Tribolium castaneum: one gene and its partners. The protein of the gene in region 3 purifies or fractionates together with the protein of the main gene of each other region. This does not show direct contact. Links are inferred from orthologs where the notes say so. Each region holds a gene or a part of one and is shown on either strand. Other genes may lie near its edges. The genes, in order: Sf3b3, wapl and SMC1.

The links.
Region 1: the proteins of SMC1 (region 3) and Sf3b3 fractionate together in Homo sapiens (co-fractionation; 3 studies listed by BioGRID, with this or other methods). This does not show direct contact. The link is inferred for Tribolium castaneum from reciprocal best matches to the Homo sapiens genes SMC1A and SF3B3.
Region 2: the proteins of SMC1 (region 3) and wapl purify together in Homo sapiens (affinity purification with mass spectrometry; 7 studies listed by BioGRID and IntAct, with this or other methods). This does not show direct contact. The link is inferred for Tribolium castaneum from reciprocal best matches to the Homo sapiens genes SMC1A and WAPL.

The regions. Positions count from the first base shown.
Region 1 is NC_087394.1:10,469,097-10,476,847, reverse strand, and holds the start of Sf3b3 (splicing factor 3B subunit 3), read left to right. Parts: upstream 1-3,676; 5' UTR 3,677-3,960; intron 3,961-4,228; 5' UTR 4,229-4,241; coding exon 4,242-4,678; intron 4,679-7,751. UniProt on the Homo sapiens protein: Component of the 17S U2 SnRNP complex of the spliceosome, a large ribonucleoprotein complex that removes introns from transcribed pre-mRNAs.
Region 2 is NC_087397.1:5,067,049-5,074,752, forward strand, and holds wapl (protein wings apart-like), read left to right. Parts: upstream 1-2,678; coding exon 2,679-2,844; intron 2,845-3,009; coding exon 3,010-4,292; intron 4,293-5,013; coding exon 5,014-5,262; intron 5,263-5,311; coding exon 5,312-5,776; intron 5,777-5,822; coding exon 5,823-6,045; intron 6,046-6,093; coding exon 6,094-6,209; intron 6,210-6,255; coding exon 6,256-6,574; intron 6,575-6,620; coding exon 6,621-6,811; intron 6,812-6,864; coding exon 6,865-7,002; 3' UTR 7,003-7,442; downstream 7,443-7,704. Other genes in the region: uncharacterized protein LOC103315102, read left to right, coding at 1-870; alpha-2-macroglobulin receptor-associated protein, read right to left, coding at 986-1,461, 1,509-1,938, 1,985-2,185. UniProt on the Homo sapiens protein: Regulator of sister chromatid cohesion in mitosis which negatively regulates cohesin association with chromatin. Involved in both sister chromatid cohesion during interphase and sister-chromatid resolution during early stages of mitosis.
Region 3 is NC_087394.1:36,158,409-36,165,919, forward strand, and holds the start of SMC1 (structural maintenance of chromosomes protein 1A), read left to right. Parts: upstream 1-2,842; 5' UTR 2,843-2,956; coding exon 2,957-3,068; intron 3,069-3,124; coding exon 3,125-3,245; intron 3,246-3,293; coding exon 3,294-3,399; intron 3,400-5,038; coding exon 5,039-5,187; intron 5,188-5,240; coding exon 5,241-5,409; intron 5,410-5,457; coding exon 5,458-5,670; intron 5,671-5,718; coding exon 5,719-5,970; intron 5,971-6,017; coding exon 6,018-6,232; intron 6,233-7,205; coding exon 7,206-7,419; intron 7,420-7,475; coding exon 7,476-7,511. Other genes in the region: slow (delta-like protein B), read left to right, coding at 12-100, 151-267, 326-493; protein LLP homolog, read right to left, coding at 585-941; uncharacterized protein LOC103314045, read left to right, coding at 1,302-1,338, 1,389-1,693, 1,817-2,566. UniProt on the Homo sapiens protein: Involved in chromosome cohesion during cell cycle and in DNA repair. Central component of cohesin complex. The cohesin complex is required for the cohesion of sister chromatids after DNA replication.

The DNA of each region.
Region 1 (7,751 bases), about 26 Mb from region 3:
AGATATTTCAACGACGAACCGTTTTTTTTGCAAAGATTTTTTTGTCGATAGACACCTTGTCTATTTCCACAATTTTATCTCAGTGGTGCGTCGTAGAATTTTGAGTAAATTTCAAACACGTTTAATTCATTATAATATTGAAATGAAAATTTTTTATTCAGCTTTGTAATCTTTTTATATCAAGGAGTTATGCCTTTTAATATATGTAATCAATTCATCTTCACCCTGTAGAAAAACTTCAAACATAATCTAATTAACAAAAAAGAAATACTACAATGCAATTAATTTTAAAAATATAATTAGTTAATTACCTTTCAAGCTCGGCAACGTGCTAATAAGAAATTGATAAGAAAGTGTTATTTTTTATTTAATTAACTAAATTTTCTTTCCACTTTATTCAAATATGTGGTGTTTAAACAGTCTAAAAAGATAGAAATGTTACCATTTCTAATTCAATTAAAGGATTTTTTTTGCTACTTTTTAATGACATTTCGTTAAATAACGCTTATTTAACTAAAAAAAATGAGCGTCGTCGTTTGTAAAACGCAAAATAATAACATTTTTAATTCAATTTTGCGGTTTTTTTTTGGTTTATTTTAATCAAAGTTGGGGTACCTACGTGTTTTCTATTTTCTTATTTTTACTTTAACAAGATAATAAAGAAGTTGGAACGTCGGCGCAACTAAGTTGTTTTTTTTTCAACATCCATTATTTTAAAATGAAACAAAAATATTATTGTTTTAAAAAATAACAAAAATAATAATATTTCTGTATACGATTCGGTGATTTTTTGAGTAATAATAATTGACTAGACTTGACCAAATAATCATATAGGTAAAAATGATAATGTCGTCCTTAATTTACTGATTTATCAGCTAGGTTTATTAAAATTTTGCAAAAACTGCATACTTATTTTAAATAGAGTTCCATTCTTGAACTAATTTTGAGATTTTAAAATTTTACTAAACAACGTTTCTGGCAACGCACTATCAAAATTTCGGTAAAAACTGAGTTAGACTTGTCTAAGCGCTTGAAAAAGACAAAAATGACGCCAACTTTATTTAATTCGACGAATTTTTTGGATAATTCCATATCAAAATGTGCGTGCCTTTGCAAATAAATAATATAACACAAAATAAGTACACACAGTTGTTGTAAAATCAAGCATTTAATTATTTTATAAAGTGATACTTTAATGTGGGGTTTTGGGAACTGCTTGTATTTTGATTTTTTTTTGACATTGTACATTGTTTATATTGAGTGTTTTTTTATTTATGGTTCTAAAAAAAAGTGGAAAGCTTTCCAAGTATAGTATAATATCATTAATTCGAAAAGTTGGCTCCACTTCAGTGCAACAATGGAGCCAGCTGCGTTCTAAAACTTTCCTTCTTGGATGTTTTTTCAAAACTCGAACTAGGACGCTTCAAAAGTTGGATATTTTATTAGGTAACATTTATTTCCTCTTCCTAGCTATCGATTGGTTTACAAAGTCTAAGGGAGAAAACAGCATGTTATTTGTCTCCTTATGCACATCATTCGAACCTCGAACGATCCCGATAACCCATTTCTTTAAAAAGATGATAAATGACGATTTTTATCAAAACAAAATGCAACACAATATACACCTTCATTATGTAACTATACATGGTGCTGCATTTTGGATGTCCGAATACGGGATCTTCGAAATTAAGAGGTTTAGAGAAAAACGATTAACACATTCTCGGGTCCGTTTTTTGAGAGAATAATTTTGGTCAAAACCGCATCTCGCTATCGTTTTTTGTTTTCGACTTATAAACAGAAATTGACATTTTAGCGAAATCTAGTTGGCTATGACATTCTCGAAAAGCTTATTTTTTTCTGATTTGATATGTTTATTTGTGTAATACATTAATTTTAAATATTAAAAAAAAACAAAACATTTTGCTTTTAACTATGAAATAATTATGAAACTATGAAAATTGTTTTACTTGTATTTATAATTTATAATATTTATATATATATATATATATATATATATATATATATATATATATATATATTTATAATTTAATGATTTTTTAAATCCTTAATTCCAAAACAGCATAATAAATTTTTATTAATTTAAATTTTTGCAATTAATAAAAATTATTTGTTTTTATATTTAAAATGGCAAGCTTACGTTGTTATTCTATTTTACAATTTTAAACATGAAATGTCGGAAAAAGAAAAAAATAATTGTATGATTGCGTATCAATAAAATTTTATTTTACAAAAAAAATGTCAATCCAAACACCAAATCAAATTTTATCTGCGGTAAAAAAATATACAACATTATCAACGTCACCTACACATTTTTTATGTAATTAAAATCTGCGATCATCGTATATTTGTTCAATTCAAAATAACTTCAACACAGCTTATTTTTATAATTTCACATTTTTTACTTTAATAACCGTTCACAAAATTTCTAGATTATTCACACCTTTTATGTGAAATAATTTTTTCATAGCCAACTACTTTCAAATGTTTTAATATATTTTTATCATAAATATACAGCGTGCTCAAAAACTGGCGCACCAACTCAATGGTGTGTGATAGAGAAGTGGTTACATATAATGGTAAAAATAGTAAAAAAATTCTTTGTATTAAAATTATTGATAAATAACTAATTTTAAGTAATTGATATGTGGCAACGTTGTCTAATAGTCATGATCGCAATAGAATTTGAGCAACAATAAAAATAAATTATATTTGAAACGGTTTCCTAGGAAATAATTCCCAGTGTTGGCACATCTACACATTGTGATTTTTTTGGATAAATTTTAATTTTTTTATATTAAAAAAACTGCTAAAATTTGATAGTAAATTTTAAAATAATTGTTAATCGTTTTGTTACGGAACGATTACCTGGTATGAAAAATAAAAATATAAAAAAATAATAAAAACTAAAGAAATTAACACAATAAGTTTGTAGCTCCAGATTTTTTAAAATATAACTTTAGGAATTTTTTCAACATTTTTCCCGTAATCTGCACTTGCTTCTCAATAACGTACCACTGAGTTGGTGCGCCAGTTTTTGAGCACCCTGTATAAAAACATCAAACTATATTTATATTGTTTTGAGTTCAGAAAAAAAAAGCTTTTCGAAAATGTCATAGCCAACTATAATTCTCATTTAAAAAAATAAAACTTTATGTCATTACAGCTAAGCGAATGAGTAAAAAAAATCGCTGCTAACATTATTAAATTCTCTGTAAAAAAGTGCCTGTATAATGTTTTTGTTTTAAATATGTATCTTTTATAATAAGGAAGATATGATATCTTTACAATAACTTAAAATTTCATCAAACAAACGCATAAGACTATTACTGTAAATTGCATTGAACTAAAACTCTGAAAATTGTCCGGAAAATATGGTACAAAACAATAAGCTTTTTACTAGAATTTGGATTCTTATTTGCCTCAAATTGAGATAAACACAATCAAGTTCTAAATACAGTACCTACAGTACGGTAAAAACAAAAGATACATACTGGCAATATCAAACGCATAAATTGTTAAAGTATAATTTTGGCCAAAGATAATTTTCTGAAAAATTTATTTAAATTGAAATTTCCTCTCAATTTTCTGATTGGTTTAGAAATTTTGCGCTTGCGTAGTAAAAAATATAGCCAACACGCACGCGCAGTAGCACTACATTTCTTCTTTCCGTTTCCTTTCTCACTTCACCGGTGTTTGTGCGTTATTTTGCCGGTCTGTCGCCATTTGCAGTTAGTTTTTGTACTTTTTTGCTAAATAATGTATCAAAACATTGCAAAAGGTGCTTTATTATTGTTTTTTAATTAACTTAACCATCGACAAAAACGCTCAAATAAATAACCAAGTCACCACGTCACAACAATGTGAACCATGCGAAAATCGAAAATAAATGGTTGAAAAACTTTGAAATATTGAACGAAACGAAGCTCATCCACGTTCAAGGTAACAAAATTTAGCTTTGATTTTGTTTTATAATTAATCACAAGTACGTATTTTTGCCCAAATTAACGAGTTGCTTTAAAAATTTGTAATCGGATGCACTTGGTATCTCCTGTACCTATGTATTGTATACGTACAGGTCGTAAAGGGTGCTATATTATGGGGCACATCGCATCGTTGGCTCAAGCGAATTACCAAGCTAAAGCCTGGTTTTAGTGCCCCACATTTTCAACTAAAAAATGATACGTTCTAACCTCACTTTTCTTCCTAGATAAGCCCCCAAAATGTATCTCTACAACCTGACCTTACAAAGGGCCACAGCCATCACCCACGCCATCCATGGCAATTTTTCCGGCACCAAAATGCAAGAAATTGTCATTTCACGTGGCAAAAGCTTGGAAGTGCTACGGCCTGACCCCAACACCGGTAAAGTCCACACGCTTCTAACCGTCGAAATATTCGGAGTCGTCCGCTCGTTGATGTCGTTTCGACTCACCGGAGGCACCAAAGACTTCGTCATCGTGGGCTCCGACTCCGGCAGAATCGTTATTCTTGAGTATATCCCGTCTAAAAACAACTTCGAGAAGGTCCACCAGGAGACGTTCGGCAAATCGGGGGTCAGACGTATTGTTCCAGGCCAGTACCTAGCCACTGACCCTCGAGGACGTGCTGTAATGATAGGCGCCGTCGAGAAACAAAAACTCGCTTACATTTTGAATAGGTACAAATTTTTTATTAAAGTATTTTTGTTCTGTAAAAATTAATGAATGCACAAAAAACGTGCGGTCTTTATTAGTTAGTTTTGCGGAAAACTATTTTAGAAAGTTATAATTACATCTGCATCTGAGTGACATTTTTGGAGTGCGATTTGTGCAAAATTGTAAGTTTCTGTAAAAGAAAAAAAGTTTGTGCTAAGAAAACCCACCAGAAACTCAATTTGCGTTACATTTTACTCCAAAAAATGCAAATACGTTTTTGCAAAATTCTACGACCTGAAATGGGATATACCTACTTAATTAAAAACAAAACGAAATAGATTACCACAATTAAAGAATACATTATCAAGCCCCAGTGAGTTTTGTGTCAAATTCGAAACTTTTGTATAGTTTTACTGTATTAAAGAATGAATTTTGTAAAAACAAATAGAAATTGCTGTTTAAATTTTAAATGTGACAGTGCGGGAAAGCTATTTTTAAAATTTTTGGCAATCAGTTCTGCATTTAGACGGCTCGGATAATCCGTACGATTCTATTAACCGAACTCCCAAATTAAGTAAAATAGTATACATAATCCGAATTACCATTCATTTATTTTGACTTTTAATTATTTTGTCGAAAAAAGTATTTGTTTAAAATACACTATCGGACAAAAGTAAGGCAACATGTTGAAAAATATACAAATATTGGTATTTTAAATTTTAAGAGTTGGTATTTACCTTCAATTTAATTTTATAATAAACGTTTAAAGATATTCTTATTCGTGTTGAACATGGATAGCCAATGGGTAATTATTATGACATGCTACTAGCTTGAAATATAAAAAAGCCCGATATTAATGCGACAAAAGTAAGGCAACATTGTCAGAAAATATTTTCAACTCAAATTTTATTTGATTCAACATTTACATAACACTACCCAACACTAAAGTTTAAATAAATAGAACGAAAAATTCAATAATTTATGACATAGCCGTTATTAAGTATAATTTTTTGGCACCGTCTGGGCATTGAAGAAATTAATTTTTGAATAACATTTTCATCCAGATTTGACCACACTTCTTTGATTTTATCTATCAAAGATTGCTTGTTGGGAAATTTTTGTATCCGGATTCGTCGCTCTACCTCTTCCCATAAGTTCTCAATTGGGTTGAGGTTTGGTGATTGGGCAGGCCATTGCAAAACATGAATATTATTATTTTGGAACCACTCACTGACCAATGCAGAAGTGTGTTTGGGGTCGTTATCTTGCTGAAAGATAAAACGAAGAGGCATTTCCCATTCTGCATACGGCAGCATTACATCTTGGAGTATGTCCTTATGGATGAACCGATCCATATTACCCCCAATAAAGCTCAACGGACCCACACAATTCCACGAAAAACACCCCCACAGAAAAACGCTACCATGACCATGTTTAACAGTGGGTGTAACATACTTGGGGTTGAATCGTGTATTGATTGGCCGTCTCACACGTTTCATTCCATCCGAATTAAATAATTTGTATCGAGTTTCGTCACTAAACAGAACTTTCCTCCAATCTTGCTTTGTCCAATTCAAATGTTCTCTTGCAAATTGAAGTCTGGCGCGTCTATTTCTTTCGGAAATCAAAGGTTTTTTAGCAGGACGTCTACTAAAAAGCTTTGCTGCAACCAGTCTTCTTTGAATTGTTCGTGTACTAACTCCTACTTCCGGTATTTCCGCTATAATTTTAGATGCAGATTTCCATGGATCGTTTTCCGAAATTCTTTTAATGCGTCTGTCCATGTTTATAGTGGTTTTTCGTGGTCGTCCCGATTTTGGATTATTGTTTAAATGTCCTCTTTCGTTGTAGCGAATAATTATTTTAGACACGCTGTATCTAGGCAGTTGAAATCTTCTTGCAATATCCGCTTGTTTTTCATTGTTTAAGAAAGCATCGATCACTCTTTCTTTCAACTCTTTACCAATTGGTGTACCCGTTGGCATGGCTCTTGTTGCGCAAGACGAACTGTTAATATTGGCCTAACAAATTTTTCATTATAACAACATTTTTTGAAAAAAATCTAAATGTTGCCTTACTTTTGTCGTCTTAAAATAATCCTTTTTTACACTACAAGTCAACAAAGCGGTTTTTTTCAACCTTAATAAATAATTACTTGACATTAATGACAGTAGCTTCCTTTGATTCTTTTAACAATATCATAGTTTGCCCGATCATAATTTATTTACATTAGATAGACATTAATTTCTATATTTTTCAAAATGTTGCCTTACTTTTGTCCGATAGTGTATGAATTTTAATTTTGTATTTTCTTATTTTTTATAGATACAGGTTTTGAGTATATTTTTTGCTGTCGGAATAGCTGTTTGCTTGGTTAATTGGTTATTAACCAATGGTTGGAGGTACCTGCAAACCGAACGCGTGTTCGGATTATTGATAATTATAATTTTTTATGAATTCTATAATCCGAACGTGGTCAGTAAACTTTTTCTTCGGATTATCCAAGTATTTACCTTTTAGGTTTTATCCATTTCCGTTAGCTACCCTTTAAATGTTTATTCATATCCTTATCAAACTCCAAAAGACATGTGTATTTGTTTTTAAGTTAGGGGTGATTTACTTTTGAAATTTAAAATCTCAGTAACCTTTTTTCTGAGCTCTATACTGGATAAATTTGAATAAAATACTGTGTTTTCGTTAAGTATCATTTAAATTTTTTATTGTGCAAAATATCATACACGTGATTTCTTTAAAACAAGCTATCTTGAAAATCTCAGAAAATAAACAAAAAATAGAAAACCTTTTAACATTTTAAATTGCATCACCTCCTTTATGATTATTCATTCAACTTACTTTCAAAATGACATAACGTATCTTCAAAAAGATATTTTTATTTAAAGTGATGATATTAATTTATACATTCATAAAGCACCAATGTGTTGGATGATTGAAAATTTAAATACATGTTCTCAAAATCGTTGTAAATAATCGATTAGTTTGGATGGAACAAGAAGGCGTCTAGTAAAAATTGAATCTAAAATAAATAAAAAAAATCTGAATACTTTCAAAACAACAAAATTATGTTAGAAGTGCTGG
Region 2 (7,704 bases), on a different chromosome or scaffold from region 3:
ATTTTACCGAATAAAGACTTAGATACAGATAATGATTCTGTTGAAAGTGCAGACAGTACAGTATCCACCCACCAAGTCAGCTCAACATCAGCTGTTATCAAGACTTCACATCAAATTCAAAACGTTCCAAATAATTTTGTTATGAGTCAACCGATGGTTTACGACCCTTTAAATTTGTTGTTTGCTGAAAACCGTGCACAAAATAGTGAAGTCAGGTTAAATTTATCGCAAATTTCGGACAAATTAAATCAGATTATTAGTTTGGTTGACTCAGATAAGCCCAGTGACAACTCAAATAGCTTGAAAAGTAGACTCAAAGTGTTGGAGTTGCGTAATGAAAACTTGTTGAGGGAATTGGGATCAAGTCAGGAAGAAAACGCAAAACTCAAATTACAATTGAAGGAACACGAAAGTAATTTGAAGAGTGAGGAAGAGAATAAACTGGAATTGAGGCTTTTGGAGGAACAAGAAACCGTCAAACGAGAGAAATTGGAAAAAGAAATTTGTGCACACAAGGACGAAATCGCTGCCCTTTCTAAAACCGTGGAGAAACAAATAGAAGAAATTGAGGCTTGCAAGCAGTCAGAATTAGCTCAGAAAGTTGAAATTTCACGCCTCGAAAATACCATTTCTGATTTGAACACAAAATTGCAAGGTTATGAGAATAAGGAAGCAAGACCAGAAATTTGTGAGGAAAAAAATGCGAAATTTATTGCGTCACTCAAGGATGCGATGAATAATATGTACGCAAATATTATGTCAAGTTGCAGCGAAGATCAGCAAACCGAAATCGGCAAAATTGTTGCCCAAAACATCAAAACCACGACACTACAAATAATTCAAAATTTCCAACAAGAGTATGAAAGTTAGACTGAGGGAAAATAATCATTTCCAATTATTTGTGATACGTATTATATTCGTTAAAAAATACTACAAAATAAACAATTCAAATGCATTTTTGTTATTTACAACACTAATTAGATAATCACAATTCAATATGCCTCTGCATTATCCTAGTTTCCAGATCCAAGTGAATTTTCTCGACCTTCCTTGCATGCTTTTTAATCGTGTCTTCCATCATCTGCATTCCGTTTGTTTTACCCCCTGCCATTTCCATTTTTTTCTTGTGCAGATCTTCTTTCAAGGCAGCTTCAGCCTGAAGATGCCTCAATTTAAGTAACCTATTTTCATAGTGCAGGAGCTCCACTCGTAACGACTCCAACTCGTCAGGTTTAAAGTTACTTTCAATTGCGATTTTCCATAAACCTTGAACTTTGGGTTCCACAAATTCTTTACTGTTGGGCCCCTTTGCCGCCAGCAAATGCAAGCGGTCGTAGCCGTCCCGGATATCCTTGTGCTGCTCCCTGAGGAGGTTCACTTTGTCCAGATAATCCTTGTTTGCCTGTGGCTCTTCCAGACTTTCAATGGTGTTGAATTTGTCTAAACCATCATCTACCGAATCTAGAATTAAAAAATTAATTTGTGGCACAACGATTGAAGGAACATACTGGCAGTGTTATCGTCTTGTTCCTTGCCTTTGACATCATGCAACAAAGCGTAATATTGGTCAACTTTATCCTGGTGGTGGGTAAATTCCTCTTTTAAAGCCGCCAACTCCTCGGCCGTAAAACCAGCAGTCTCGGCTTTTTCCCACAGTTTGTTCAACTTTTTATCTTTAAATAAACTCTTGTTTATGTATTTGTCGGAGGCCTCATTCAGAGGTTTATGAGCTCTATATTTAGACGGGTCTTGCACGTCATCGGCTTGGTCCAGTAAATTATAGGACCCCATTATTGTCAGCAATTTCTTCCTCAACTCGGCCTCTTTTAACCCGTCTTTGTCCTTCCCCTCTGCTTTCAAATGCTTCCAAGTGATTTCCTCTTTATCGTGCAATTTCAATTCGCCAAACAGGGATTTTAGTTTAGGTTCAGAGAGCCTCTAAATATTAATTTAATTAAAGCAGCTACTGGTTGTAAATACGTACCACCACAGCCTTGGACCATAAGAGATTTAATTTAGCCATCCTGAAAGGCTTATCCAGGTGCTTCAGCGACACCGGCCGAAAATCCACATCATCGTTCGATTTTTTCACATTCGCTTCGGCCGAATATTTATTGTGACAATGAGAAATCGACGAAAAACTAACAATTAACACACCAATTATCAACTTATCGATAGGACACATCTTTTTGGGTTATTTTTGAAAAGTTGGACGAAAATTTTTGACAGTTGCAAGCGGTTGTATAAATTTGACAGATGAGCGTCGTTGCAACAGCCAACTGTGCAACCTTACGTAGATTTCGTAGCCGTTATTTACTGGCGTGTTTATAACGTGAAAATTCTATTGACAAGAAAAACCTAATTATTTCCCGCATTTTCCCAAAAGTGGAAACCCTCATACAAATAATGTGGTATCTGTGACACCTTACCAATGCCTGCAAGCCCACTTAATAAATATCAATGGACCTTCATCATTTGATGAAAATGGCGAAGTTGAACCAATTTTAACAAAATACACCAAAATGTACAGATAAATCGCCAAAATAACATCATGGAACTCGATAGTATTACTAGATAGGACGTTGGGGACGCGTTTGTATTGCCAGGAATTTTGCCAGGGCTCAAGTTTTAATCCGAAATGTTTGAGTGAGGGGTACTTTTGAGTTCAACTTTTAAAAATGTCAAGAGGGTATGGGAAGTATCGCCGTGGAGGAAGTTCACATGCAAGTTTCCATTTCGACAATTTATTTAAGGAAAATGCTAACAAACCATCTGCCGCAAGGTCTGCAGCCACTGTGGGCAAGTGGGGCATCACCTCCTTCACTTCCATACGTACCAGCAATGGTAAGTTGCCCCTCGACAATTTTCGACATACAACTATAATTTCGCAACAGTTCTGTTTTTGTGGTCATTAATACTTATGGAATTGAGTTGATTTAGTTAGGTTTTTTTAAGAGCCAGTAGTTTAAGCTCTCAAAGCCCCCATTCACTGTAGTTGTTATAATCCAGGTTTGTCTCGTTCAGAAAACGAAAAAAACGCCTCATCTGAAGGAGAGTCCGTGCCGAAGCCGAAGAAGTTCTTCAAGAGTCGCAACACGGAACCCCCTGACCTGTCTTCGTCCTACAAGGCCGACATGACATACGGCAACGTAACAAAGAAGCTGAAATTAGTAAACGAACCGACGGAGAAATCCAAAAGTGTTGGTCGTAAATTTTTTTCGTCAAAGAGCAACTCGCCTGAAAAGACTGTACTAAGTTCAAATGTAAATAATTCTAAACGAAACGAAACAAAACCTCCAATAGTTTTAAGGATATGTAAAGGAAAATCCCAGTTAGTGAACGATTCGGACGAATCTGAAAGCACGCCCACACCATCCAGCACCCCATCGACTTCAAACGCCACCTCTCCAAGGGCTCTCAGGGACACAGCACAAAGATCACCAAATTGTCGCATCACCAGGTCAGCGAGAAGAAGCATGCAACAGGACCCCAGCAGCAGTCCGGCAACGGCCGACACTCCGACCGAATTCTCCCTCTTCACTTCGCCCAAACAGGACATAGACCTGTCCCCGCAATACATCCCAGCTGAAAGATACGAAATGGAGCGGAAAGCCATGTACGATAACTTGCTTAAACCAAACTCGCCTTCGCAGCTGTTCCCCGAAGAGAAGAACAGCACCGAAGATTCAGGAATTGATTACGTAGATAGCGAAATTAGTGCCGAAAAAGAGCCGGAAGAAACCGACAAAACCGAACAAATCGAAACTAAACCGAGTGAAACCATCGAAGAAAAAAGCCAACCGGTTGAAGAAACCAAATCGGGGGAAGAACCAGTGACCAAGGGTTCAATAGAAGAGGAATGGGACACCGACGAGGACAGCAACAGCACCACCCCAGACTCAGAAATCAAAACGCAGCTAACCGAGGATTCGGAACCGCTCCCACTGCCGGTGGAAGAGCAGAAGGAGAAAAGTGCGGAAGAAGGCGCCCCCGAAACTAGCCCTCCCGTTAAATTAGTTATCTCAAAGAAGAAAGGAAGTATTTTTAAAAGTAGACCTTTAGTTACGGACGTGACGAAAAAACGGCGCGCGTTGTACAGACACAAGTGGAGTGATGATAAAGACGCCACGCAAAAATCGAACGAAAATCCTAGTAGCAATAATACGGGTGGTTCAGTGTATGACGAGTTCAGTTTTAATGATGATCCTTTGACGAGGGTCACGGTTGGGGGCAACAGCGACGGCGAGGACGAGAGTGTGACCAGTATCAAGTGCACCAAGAGTGACAAAGGGGTGAGTTGTATGAAGACAAAAAAATACAAGCATTAAAAAGTAACTCATGTTTACAAAAAATTATTTTTGAACATTATATTAAAATTAAAATAATATTTATACGAAATTTAACAAATAAAATATATTTATTTTTTTTATTATGCCCATAGAACACTACATAATTTAATATAATTTAAATGGCCTCAATTTGGTGATGAACTGATGAATTTTTTAAAAGTTTTTTTCTGTAATATAATCATAAACTGTACTTTTAAACTAGTTATTAACATAATACAGCATGAATTAATTGTGTATTCCTGAATTTTTTTGAATAAAATAATAAGTAATTGAATCAAATAAATTGAAGCATCAAAAAAAATAAGAAGAAGATAAACAATTCACAGTTATCTATACTTGGAGTACAGACGTTCTGCTAATTTTTTAATTTAAATATTGAATATTACATAGTACCATAAGTAATTAATAATTCTTTTTACAACCGAATCATATATACTTGAAATATTTTGTAAACCAGTGTAATTAAATAAGAACAGGTTTTAGTTAATATAAACAAAAGTGAGAGACGCATTTTTTGTAAAGAAAACATTAAAAAAGCTTCATTTGGATGGTATTACGCATTTGTCAATAAAAAGTTATTTGCTAAAAAAATAAACGTTCTTGTTATTTCGCTTTGTGGACTGTTACTGTTTGGTTTATCTGATTAATTTGTATGTTTTCTCAGTTTTACACAGTCGTCCGCAACGTGAAGAAAGCCCACCAGATCCAGGAAATCGGCGAATTTCAAGAATTCAACGACGACGTGGAGTACATCCTTGATGCCTTGCAGGATAATAATCCAATCAGTACTCGCTGTTTATCGGCCATTACTCTAGCTTCTAAATGTATGGTGCCTGCGTTCCGGATGCACGTGCGTGCTCACGGAACCGTAGCTAAATTTTTCAAGGCACTACATGACGCCACCAAAGACCAAGTATTATTTCACCAATTGAAATTTCCAAATTACTCAAATCGTGTTTTAGAGTCTTGGTCTATGTACAGCGACTGTCATGTTCGTCCTGAGCCAGGACCGGCTCAACATGGACCTAGACCGCGATTGCCTCGAACTCATGTTAAACCTTCTCGAATCGGACGTAAGCTACCAGCAAGCGCTCGACGTCTGCGGCTTGAGCTCGGCCCAGTTGGAGAAAAATAAACAGAAAGTTAGGGAGCTGTGTGCCGAGATACAAAGTCAAGGGCATGCCATGCATCTGAATCTCGATAATATAACTGTGGGTCAATTGGCAATGGAGACGCTTTTGAGTCTCACGTCGAAAAGGGCAGGCGAGTGGTTCAAGGAGGAGCTGCGGGAGTTGGGCGGCTTGGAGCATATTATGAAGACGATATGCGAGTGCTGTAGACAGGTGTCTGATTATGTGGTTTCGTGGACTGATGCCTTGTTAGATAAACTTCGGAAAGTTGATAGGTGTTTACGTGTGCTGGAAAATGTACGATTTTTATGTGAATCGGCGCAAAATAACTTTTCACTTGTAGGTCACTCATAATAATGAAGAGAATCAAACGTACCTGTTAAAATATAATGATGGAGTAATTTTAGATACGCTCGTTAATTTGTATAAACTATGTGATGGTGAAATACCTCTGTATCCAGTGACTGATATAACCGATAAGGAGTCGACTGGGACTATAATAAGGGAAGCTCTTCTCGTAACTCTGAAAGTATTAATTAATTTAACACACCACTTTAGTAAACAATGTAGGTTCTGACAGTTAAAATTTCACCCAATTAACACTGTTTTTACAGCCATGGGAAGTACCTTAATAGGTTCGAGGAACGGCATTATTGAAACAAGCCTGCATCTGCTTCTCCAAGTGCCGCACTATATCCCCGAACAAAAGAAATTCGAATTGGGAGTTTTGGTAATAATTTATTGTGTCCCAAACTTCAAATAACCAACTATTCCAGGTCCTCATGTTGTTGATTAACCTTATTCAAGATAACGACAACAACAAGAAGCTGTTGATTGAAGCCAAAGCCCCGTCAAAGCTGGAAAGTATTTATTCAAGTGAGTCAAAAATCACTTCGGTGGTGTTTGCTGACTGTGAATTTGTAGGAGAAGAAAGTGCCGTTGAGGCTTTGATCGCGCAATTTTATCACTGGGAAGGGTGTGCGAAAATCGCTGAAAAACGGACCAACGCGATATTGGACGGTGAAAAAGATGAGAACAGTGGTAACGTTGCGTACAAGTCAAATGAGGAATTTATCGAGGAAACTGTCGCTAAATGTGAGTTATAATAATTTGTTGCGATTTTATAACTGTGTGGTTCTAGTGCTACAAAAAGCCGGCACACATATGGAGTACACCTTCCTGGCTTCGTACATCGTTATGTTGATTGGATTCCTGATAATGGACAACAAGGAGTACCAAAATAACGTGCGACAGTTCCTCCGTGGGAACAATTTTGCCGATATGGTCGAACTGTTGAAGAAGTTCTTCAATTTTATGAATTTAACTGCTTCGGTACGTGTTGTTTTGTTGCTAAATGTTGGTTTTATGATTGTTTTTTTTTACAGACGGAAGCGTCAAGCGTTTGCGCAATTAAAGCCACCGAAAAAGTCATCAAGTTTCTGGAAGAGTGTGACAGTCCTCCGCCTGAAGAGAAGCCGAGTTATACGGAGTGTATGGATCTTAGTTACACAATGGCACACTAGCATTTAAATATTGTAAAGAATCAGTTTTGGTAAATCGTAAGAACGTTTCAAAGTGGTGATTGACTATGAAAATGCACCATCATTTCTCTAGTACTTACAGTTTACTGAAATCACAAAAGTAGAAAAAATACAAAAAAATAGTCATATTGATAGTTGACCTAGATTACTGAACTGAAACATTTCATTCTTTATTTTATTACCTTATTCTGTTGTTAGTATTATTTAGTGTTAAGCCTATGAAATTTAACGTAAGGTTCAGTATGTCGTTTTATATTTTTATCGTGGCGAATTTATAGTTTTGTTCAAGTGTATATACTTACTACTGTATATGAATTTTCTTATTTATTTCATGACTAGATTACTTGTAAAATTACCATAATGTTATTTGGATTGTTTAAATATAATGTACATAATAAATACTGATACTTTTTAAAGTTTTATTCATTGAGTTTCTTTCAAACCTGCACAGACAATACTTCACGGGGCGATGAACAGACACCGTAGAAAAAAATTAAAAATACCTTCTTATAAAAAATTGGATTACCTTGTACCTACCTGTCCTAAAGAGTCCCATCTAATCAATAATGATTGTATGTTATTTAAACATGAGTCAGAATAATAATTTATTTCTCTTGGCCTCTGCGAAATAAATTGTGAAGATATGCAAATAATTTTCCCCTACGATTTTTATGTTGCCTACGT
Region 3 (7,511 bases):
TCTCGTTTCAGACGACGACGACACAGCGCTCGAGGCCAAAGATTTGGATACACAGCAAAAATTGGATAAGATGGATAAACGGCTGCAGATGCTCGAAAAGGTATCAAATTAGGCCGAAATGAAAAGTAATTAACTTGATGCCGATTTCAGATGGTGAAAGAAAAGAGCAAAAACGAAGTTACGAAGCAGGATCTTAAAAGTATTTATGGAAACATTGATAGGATGTCTAGTGATATTGGTAGTATAGCGTGCAAGTTGCGGCGATTGGTACACGATAAATTTTTCTTAAATTCCCCTGATGTGCAACAGCAAAAATTAATTTTAGGAAAGCTGTAATCAAGATAAAACGCCACCAAAAAGTTGCATCGATCTTGTAGAAAACACAATTCATAGTAACACCAAACCCCCTTCTCCAGCCGACGAAGCAAGCTGTGATTGTGAAAAACCACAAGAACATCCCCCAGGGTGTAAATGTATGTCGTCGTCAGTGTAAAAATTTGAACTTATATTTATATGTAAAAACACAAATAAAGACTCAAAAAAGCATTTTTATTTTTAATAATAAACTGTAACATTTGAAACAATCAATGTTTGCCCTTCTTCCCTCTCTTCCCCTTCTTGGATTTACTCCTGGCAGTTTTCCTCGGGTGCAGCCATACGGGGTATGCGCCATGTTGATCCCTCAAAGTCCTAGGATTAAAGACACGCTTTTTTGAGTCGGTCTCCATTTGTTCCTCATTTTCCGCACTTTTTTTAACAGATTTGGGTTCGACGACGTTCACTACGTCCGAAATTTCTGTCATATTTACATCCTTGTTATCAGACTGACTGTCGTTGATCCCCAAAGTTTTTTTCAAACGCTCCAGTTCTTTTTTGCCATAACGTTCCCGCTTGATCGCACGGCACTTTCGCCTCCATTTGCTTCGAATGCTCTTTGCCATTTCCTAAAAAACACTGGCAGTGCGGAAAAAATTATTTCTTTTGGCTTTTACAAGAAGAAAACACGAGTGTCACTTTGAGGTTAATTTTTAAAATGTCAGTCTTAGAAACTTTGGTTTTGACACTAGAAATTAAATTTATTGCTTAACTAATGACACGATTAGTTTACTAAATTATTATCTATTGGGAAATATTGGTTTATGGTTAGTATATTTGTACCGTTAACTAATTGTTAACTAACATGTGCACTTGGGCAATAAATTTATATAAAAATAAATGGGTTTGTTGGGTTGGTGGTTCTGTTATTCTATGGTTGACAGCGGAAAAGTGACCGTTATTTCGTGCGTTTAAAAATTTTAAAAATGGATCACCGGCTAACAAAAATTTGCGATGGTTTCGGTAAGCTCATGAGACTCGCTAGTATCGTTTAAATACTTGGTAAATTGTAGCAAAAGATGAAAACGGGAAAATTGTCACATTACCCTTACAATTACCTCAAATATCGAACGCTCCAAGTTCGTTAACAAGAAAGAGCCCCGAAAAAAGAAGCACGGTGAAGAGGAAATTTATACCAATTGAGCGAATGCCATTTTGTGCCGCTGATTTTGAGAAATCTCCGAAAAAACGTAAAGTGGAAAGACCCGTCTGCAAGCAACTGTTTAAAGCACCCAACGAAAAACCACAAAAGAAGGGTTCTTATAACAGTCGTCAGTCCCTTATTACTAAGAAAAAAACGGTGCAACGTGCGCCAAAGGTACAATATTAACGACCAAAAGGGCAAATTATAAAAACTCGTTTCATGAGGCTTTGAAACTGGTCTTATGAAACCTTTTTAATTTTACTATTTTACAACACATGCTAGTAATGTTTTTTTCAGGTCAGTGTACAAAATGCGACTAGTGATGATTCAGTTTTAATTAATGCCGATGAAAGTTATTTATCTGCCACCAAAGCACGACCTGCAACGCCTTTACAAACCTTATCAAACCTTCTGTCACCCATCAGTGACGGGTCTGCAAATTCCGAAGACAGGGAGTTTTTACTGTTAGAACAAGCATGTGCTTCGGCCAAAAAGCCCCCTAAAAACAACAATCGTGTTGCATCACCCATGGCTTCAGTGTGTGCCTTACTAGAAAGTACAAAGATAACAAATTCAGTGCAAAAAACCAGCTCAATAGTTGATAAAATAAACGCTTTACTGAATGAAGATGATGAGGAGTTCCAGCAGTATGTGCAGAAACGTCAAGTTAGAAGAAATCAAATAAGGGAACTGGTCCGTGGCCTGCTTGACGAAGATAAGGAAAATAACGTCAGAAGATCGGATCGAATAGCAGCGAAACCATCAGTTAAAAAGTTTGTTGTTTCACCTGCAGTTACGAAAAGTGTGGATTTGCGTAAATCAACCCTGAACAAAAATCTATCAAAGAACATTGAATGCAACAGTCCTACAAGAAGAGCGCTTGATTTGTACACCAGTATGCGGAATGAATGTGCTGTTTTGTGTACCCCACAAGTGGACAGAGACGACAAAATGCCATCAAGTGGTAGAAGATCCAGAAGTATCTCTAGGAAAATCCAAAAGCAGTGTCTCTTGTTGCAAGATACACCGAATAAATCATCATCCTAATGCAGTTTAATTTTGTATTTTGTAATTTACTGATTTATTATTAAATTTTCCCTCTACACTACCAGAAATTTATTTTATCAAATTTTTTTTTGTCAAGTTGGTGTTCCATAGTTGTAACTGTTGCAACTAGTGTAAAAGGCTTGAAGGAAGGCAACAACAACGTTGCTTTTTAATAAATTAAAGTTTCTTCGTATATTTATCTCAAAAATGGTTGTTTTTCTGCCCAACTTGTGTATTTTTTGATTTTTGTCCTCACCTCATCTGGGGATTTTAGTGTGTTAACTTGCCACAAGTTGGCGGTGACGCTAGCCGCAGCCGCCATACTTGTTGTTTGTGGTTGTGCGGTGTTTCTGTTTAAAAAATAATGCAAAATCTGTAAAAACCCACAAAATGCCTCCGAGATTGAAACACATCGAAGTGGAGAACTTCAAGTCGTACAAAGGGCACCGAATAATTGGGCCCTTGAAGCCTTTCAATGCCGTAATCGGCCCCAATGGCTCAGGTAAAACACCGTTACATTTTCCATACAAATATCCTCCAAGTTGTGTAAATTTGAAGGTAAATCCAATTTTATGGACGCAATTAGCTTCGTTATGGGCGAAAAGACGCAAAGTTTGCGTGTTAAGAGATTGAGTGATCTTATCCATGGGGCTGCGATTAGCAAACCAATATCCAGAAGGTATTGCCGCTTTCACTTGTTTTGGGACACTGTAACTGTCTTTTTCAGTGCTTCAGTTGCTGCTGTTTTTGTTCTTGATGAAGAAAGTGGCAAAGAAATTTGTTTCCAGCGTTCGGTTCAAGGTTCTTCATCTGAATACAGAATCAATGGAACTGTAAGTATCTTCATCTAGTTGGAGACAAGTGCTTCACAGATCAGTATTACGTGAGTTTTTGTAATACTGCTTAGGCAAGCACAGAGATTATTGTTCTACTAGATATTTTGATGCTACTCGTCTGTAGATACATTACAGCAGTTTATTACATTTTATTCACCAAACAATTTGATTTGCCATTTGTCTAATTTATGTACAGGCACTTTTTTACAGAGAATTTAATGTTATCAACGCTTTTTAGGAATTATGTGTAGTTGGCTATCACAGTTTCGTAAAGCCAATTGTTTTCTGATCTAAAAAATGTAAATACAGTTTGATATTTTTATATACTTTTATAAAAAAAATATTTCGAAAATTTGATAACATTATTTCATATAAAAGTTTTGTGAAAAATGTGAAATTATAAAAATATAAGTTATGTTAAAGCTATTTTCATTTGAACAATTATACGATTGTTTCAGATTTAAGTCATCAATAGATTGAAAACATTTATCAACGGCAAAAATATATCATTTTCAACCCAGTTCTGGTTATTTTTCGGCTCATTTTTTACTAGATTTCTCAAAATAATTGCGTTTCTAAATGAAAAACATTTGATAAAACACAAAATCGCGAAAATAATGCAATTTGCGACCAATTATAGTGATTTTCTACTCCAGTTTCGCAAAAATTGCTCTATTTCGGAAATAATTTTTAACGTGTTGAGCACAATTTTCGACCCAAGTCGATAATTTTTGTCTAAATTTTACGAAATTATTAAGTATCTGACTAAAAAAACGTTCTTAAACGGTAAAAATAACGAGTTTAGCGAATTTTCGGCACATTTTTGATTAAATTTTGCAAAATAATTGCCTTTCTACATGAAGAACTTGTTGATAAAACGCAAAAACGATAAAATATTGTAGTTCTCGATTTAATTTATTGATTTTTCACTTTGGTTTTGTAATTACTGCTCCATTATCAGTATTATCACACTAATTCGGTAAATTTTTGGTTTATTTGTGACAAAACTTTTGTAAAATAATTGCATTCCTGGATGAAATTTTGTGATTTTTTACTGTGATTTCAGAAAAACTTAATTCCATGTCCTAAACGTGCTTAAAAACGCCCAAAAACCTGGAAAAATTGCTCTAATTTTGTAATGGATTTTGACCTAAAACGTTCGAAATTTTCACAATTTTTGAACCAGTTAAATGATTTTTTATCGAAAAAACATAGTTTTAATCCAAGGCCAAAATTACATAATGTTCAGTGTAACTTCAATTTTATTCTTAAATAAAAATAGTATGGTATAACGTAGGTAGTAAAAAAAGTTACTTACCTCATTCTTTGAAAAATTGAAGAAACTCCAGATACTATATCTTTTTAAAATAAAATTATGTTTTATTAAGTTAATAAGTTTTTTCTTCTAATAATATGTGAGATTTTTTAATAAAAAACTGAACGATTTCCAACATGTGAATGGTCAAAAGACTACTCGTAAACTAAATATTTCTTGTACTACTATTATAATTTTAGAGTAAAAACGTAATAAAATTTTGAAAACTGAAAATTATGCCTTGCTTTTTTGCTACTTTACGTAATGGGAAACCTTTTTTTTACCAAAACTATATAATCCCAAAATGATTTTCTTACTTAGGTCGTTTCAAACAATGAATATTTAACTGAACTGGAAAAATTACGCATCAATGTAAAAGGGAAGAATTTTCTGGTCTTCCAAGGTGCGGTAGAATCTGTTGCAATGAAGAATCCCAAAGAAATGACCGCACTTTTTGAGGAAATTAGCGGGTATTTATCATTTTGCATTAATTTTTTGTGTTGCTAATTCCAACCAAATTTAGTTCCGGTGCTTTAAAAGAAGAATATGATCGCCTTAAACAGCAAATGCAAAAGGCACAAGAAGAAATCAACTTTGCTTATCAGAAAAAGAAAGGCATAAATGCTGAACGTAAAGAAGCGAGACTTGAGAAAGAAGAAGCTGATAAATATTCACGACTTAAAGATGATTTGGTATGTTTTACTATTTTTTTTTTATTTTTTTAATTATTGCAACCACAGAATGACAAACTGGTGGAGCACCAACTTTTCCGCTTATACCACAACGAGCGCGAGATGAAAAACCTGGAAAACGATTTAAAACACAAACAACGCGAGGTGGAAAAGATCGAAAAAAAGAAAGAAAAAGCCGAAGAGGTTTTAAAAGAAAAAAAGAAAGAACAAGGCAAATTTAACCGCGAGTTGGCAAAAATCGAGCAAGATATTCGCGAAGTTGTAAGTTTGAATAATTTATTACTTGCACCTTCCTAATTTATTTCACAGGAAGTTGAGATTTCCAAAAAACGGCCGCAGTTCATCAAAGCTAAAGAACGTGTCTCCCACATGCAGAAAAAATTAGACGGAGCGATAAAAACATTAGAACAGGCGAGAAAAGCCCACGAAGCGCATATGAACGATATTAAAAAACTGGAAGACGAATTGGCCGAAGTTGAAAAGACGAAAGACGAATATGAGAGTCAAATTGCCGGAGAGTCGCAAAGTCAAGGCAGAGATGTGCACCTTGAAGACGAACAGGTGAGAAATTACGGAAATGGTGATTGGTTTAGGACTTCGCTGTGTAGGTTAGAGAATATCATCGGCTGAAAGAAGAGGCAGCCAAGAGGTCAGCCAGGTACATGCAGGAGTTGGATTCTGTCAACAGGGAACAGAAGTCGGATCAGGACAGACTTGACAATGTTTCAAGAATGCGCACTGATGCCGAAAATAAACATCGGCAGAAGTGTCACGAGAAGGAGGAAATGGAGAAAAGAATTGAAAAGCTGGCCGAGCATATTCGGTAGTTAATTTTTTCTTTATTTTTTTTTTTTTTGTATTTTCTATACAGGTTGAGTCAAAACTGTCAACTTAAAAGTTCAGTAAAGCTTAAAAAGCTTAAAAAATTCGTATGAATTATTATAATTGCTTGCATATAAAGGTAAACATAGTAAAAAAATTCTTTGTATTAAAATTATTGATTAATAACGAATTTTAAATAAATGATTTGTGGCAACGTTGTCTACCAGTCAACAATAAAAAAAATAATTTTAAACGGTTTCCTAGGAAATAATTTCCAGTGTTGACACATCTACAAATTGTGTTTTTTTTTATGAATGTCATTTCTTTAATTCAAAAAACTGACAAAGTCTGATAGGAAATTAAAAAATAACTATTATCCGTTCACGATTGTTTTAAATTCTCAGCAGGCGTAGATATATTTTTGTTAGGTTGGCCTCAGGTCCTGTCAGGTACTGTCTTTATGACGTTGTCTTGTCAAAAATTCGCTGTGTTGTCAGTTCTACTGCTTATTAATTTAAAATGTCGAAAATAATATCTGTTGATAAGAAAGTGTGTATCAAAAGATGCTTTGAAGGATGCAAAAAAGACAAACCCGACTTTTTTATCTAATGATAAGGAGTAGAATAACAATAAAAACGTATTCAATTATTTTTTAAAAAAACGAAGCAAACTGACAACAGTCCTTGGTTGTCATCAATTATAACCCAAAATAAATTTCTTATGACAACTCACAGTATTGCCAAATAAAATGTCAGATTTTCATAGATAGTCCGAATTTAAAACAATCGTTTAATTTAATCATCGTTTTGTTTGGAAACTATTACTTAGTGCGAAACATAAAAATAATGAAAACTGAAGAAGTTTTGAGCAACCTGTATACGATTCATTAAAATTAATTCATGAGTTGATTAAGTCTATGCAAAAAAATTATTATTTCTTACGTGTTTCAATTTGTATTTTTTTGTGGTTTAAAGGTTGAGTGAACAGGCTTTACAAGACCAGAAACAACTGCGTTCTGACCTACAATCAGACGTTGGGTCATCCAAAGACCGCGTCCATGAAATCCAGAAACAACTGGACGATGTGTTAGAACAACTGGGAGATGCAAGAACCGACAAACATGAAGATGCAAGACGGAAGAAAAAACAGGAGATTGTTGAGCGCTTCAAAAGCAACTATCCTGGAGTTGTATGTCTTGCTAACACTTGTTAAAAAATTTATGATTTAGTTTTTTCTTTTTACAGTATGATCGCATGATCAACATGTGCCAACCCATCCAT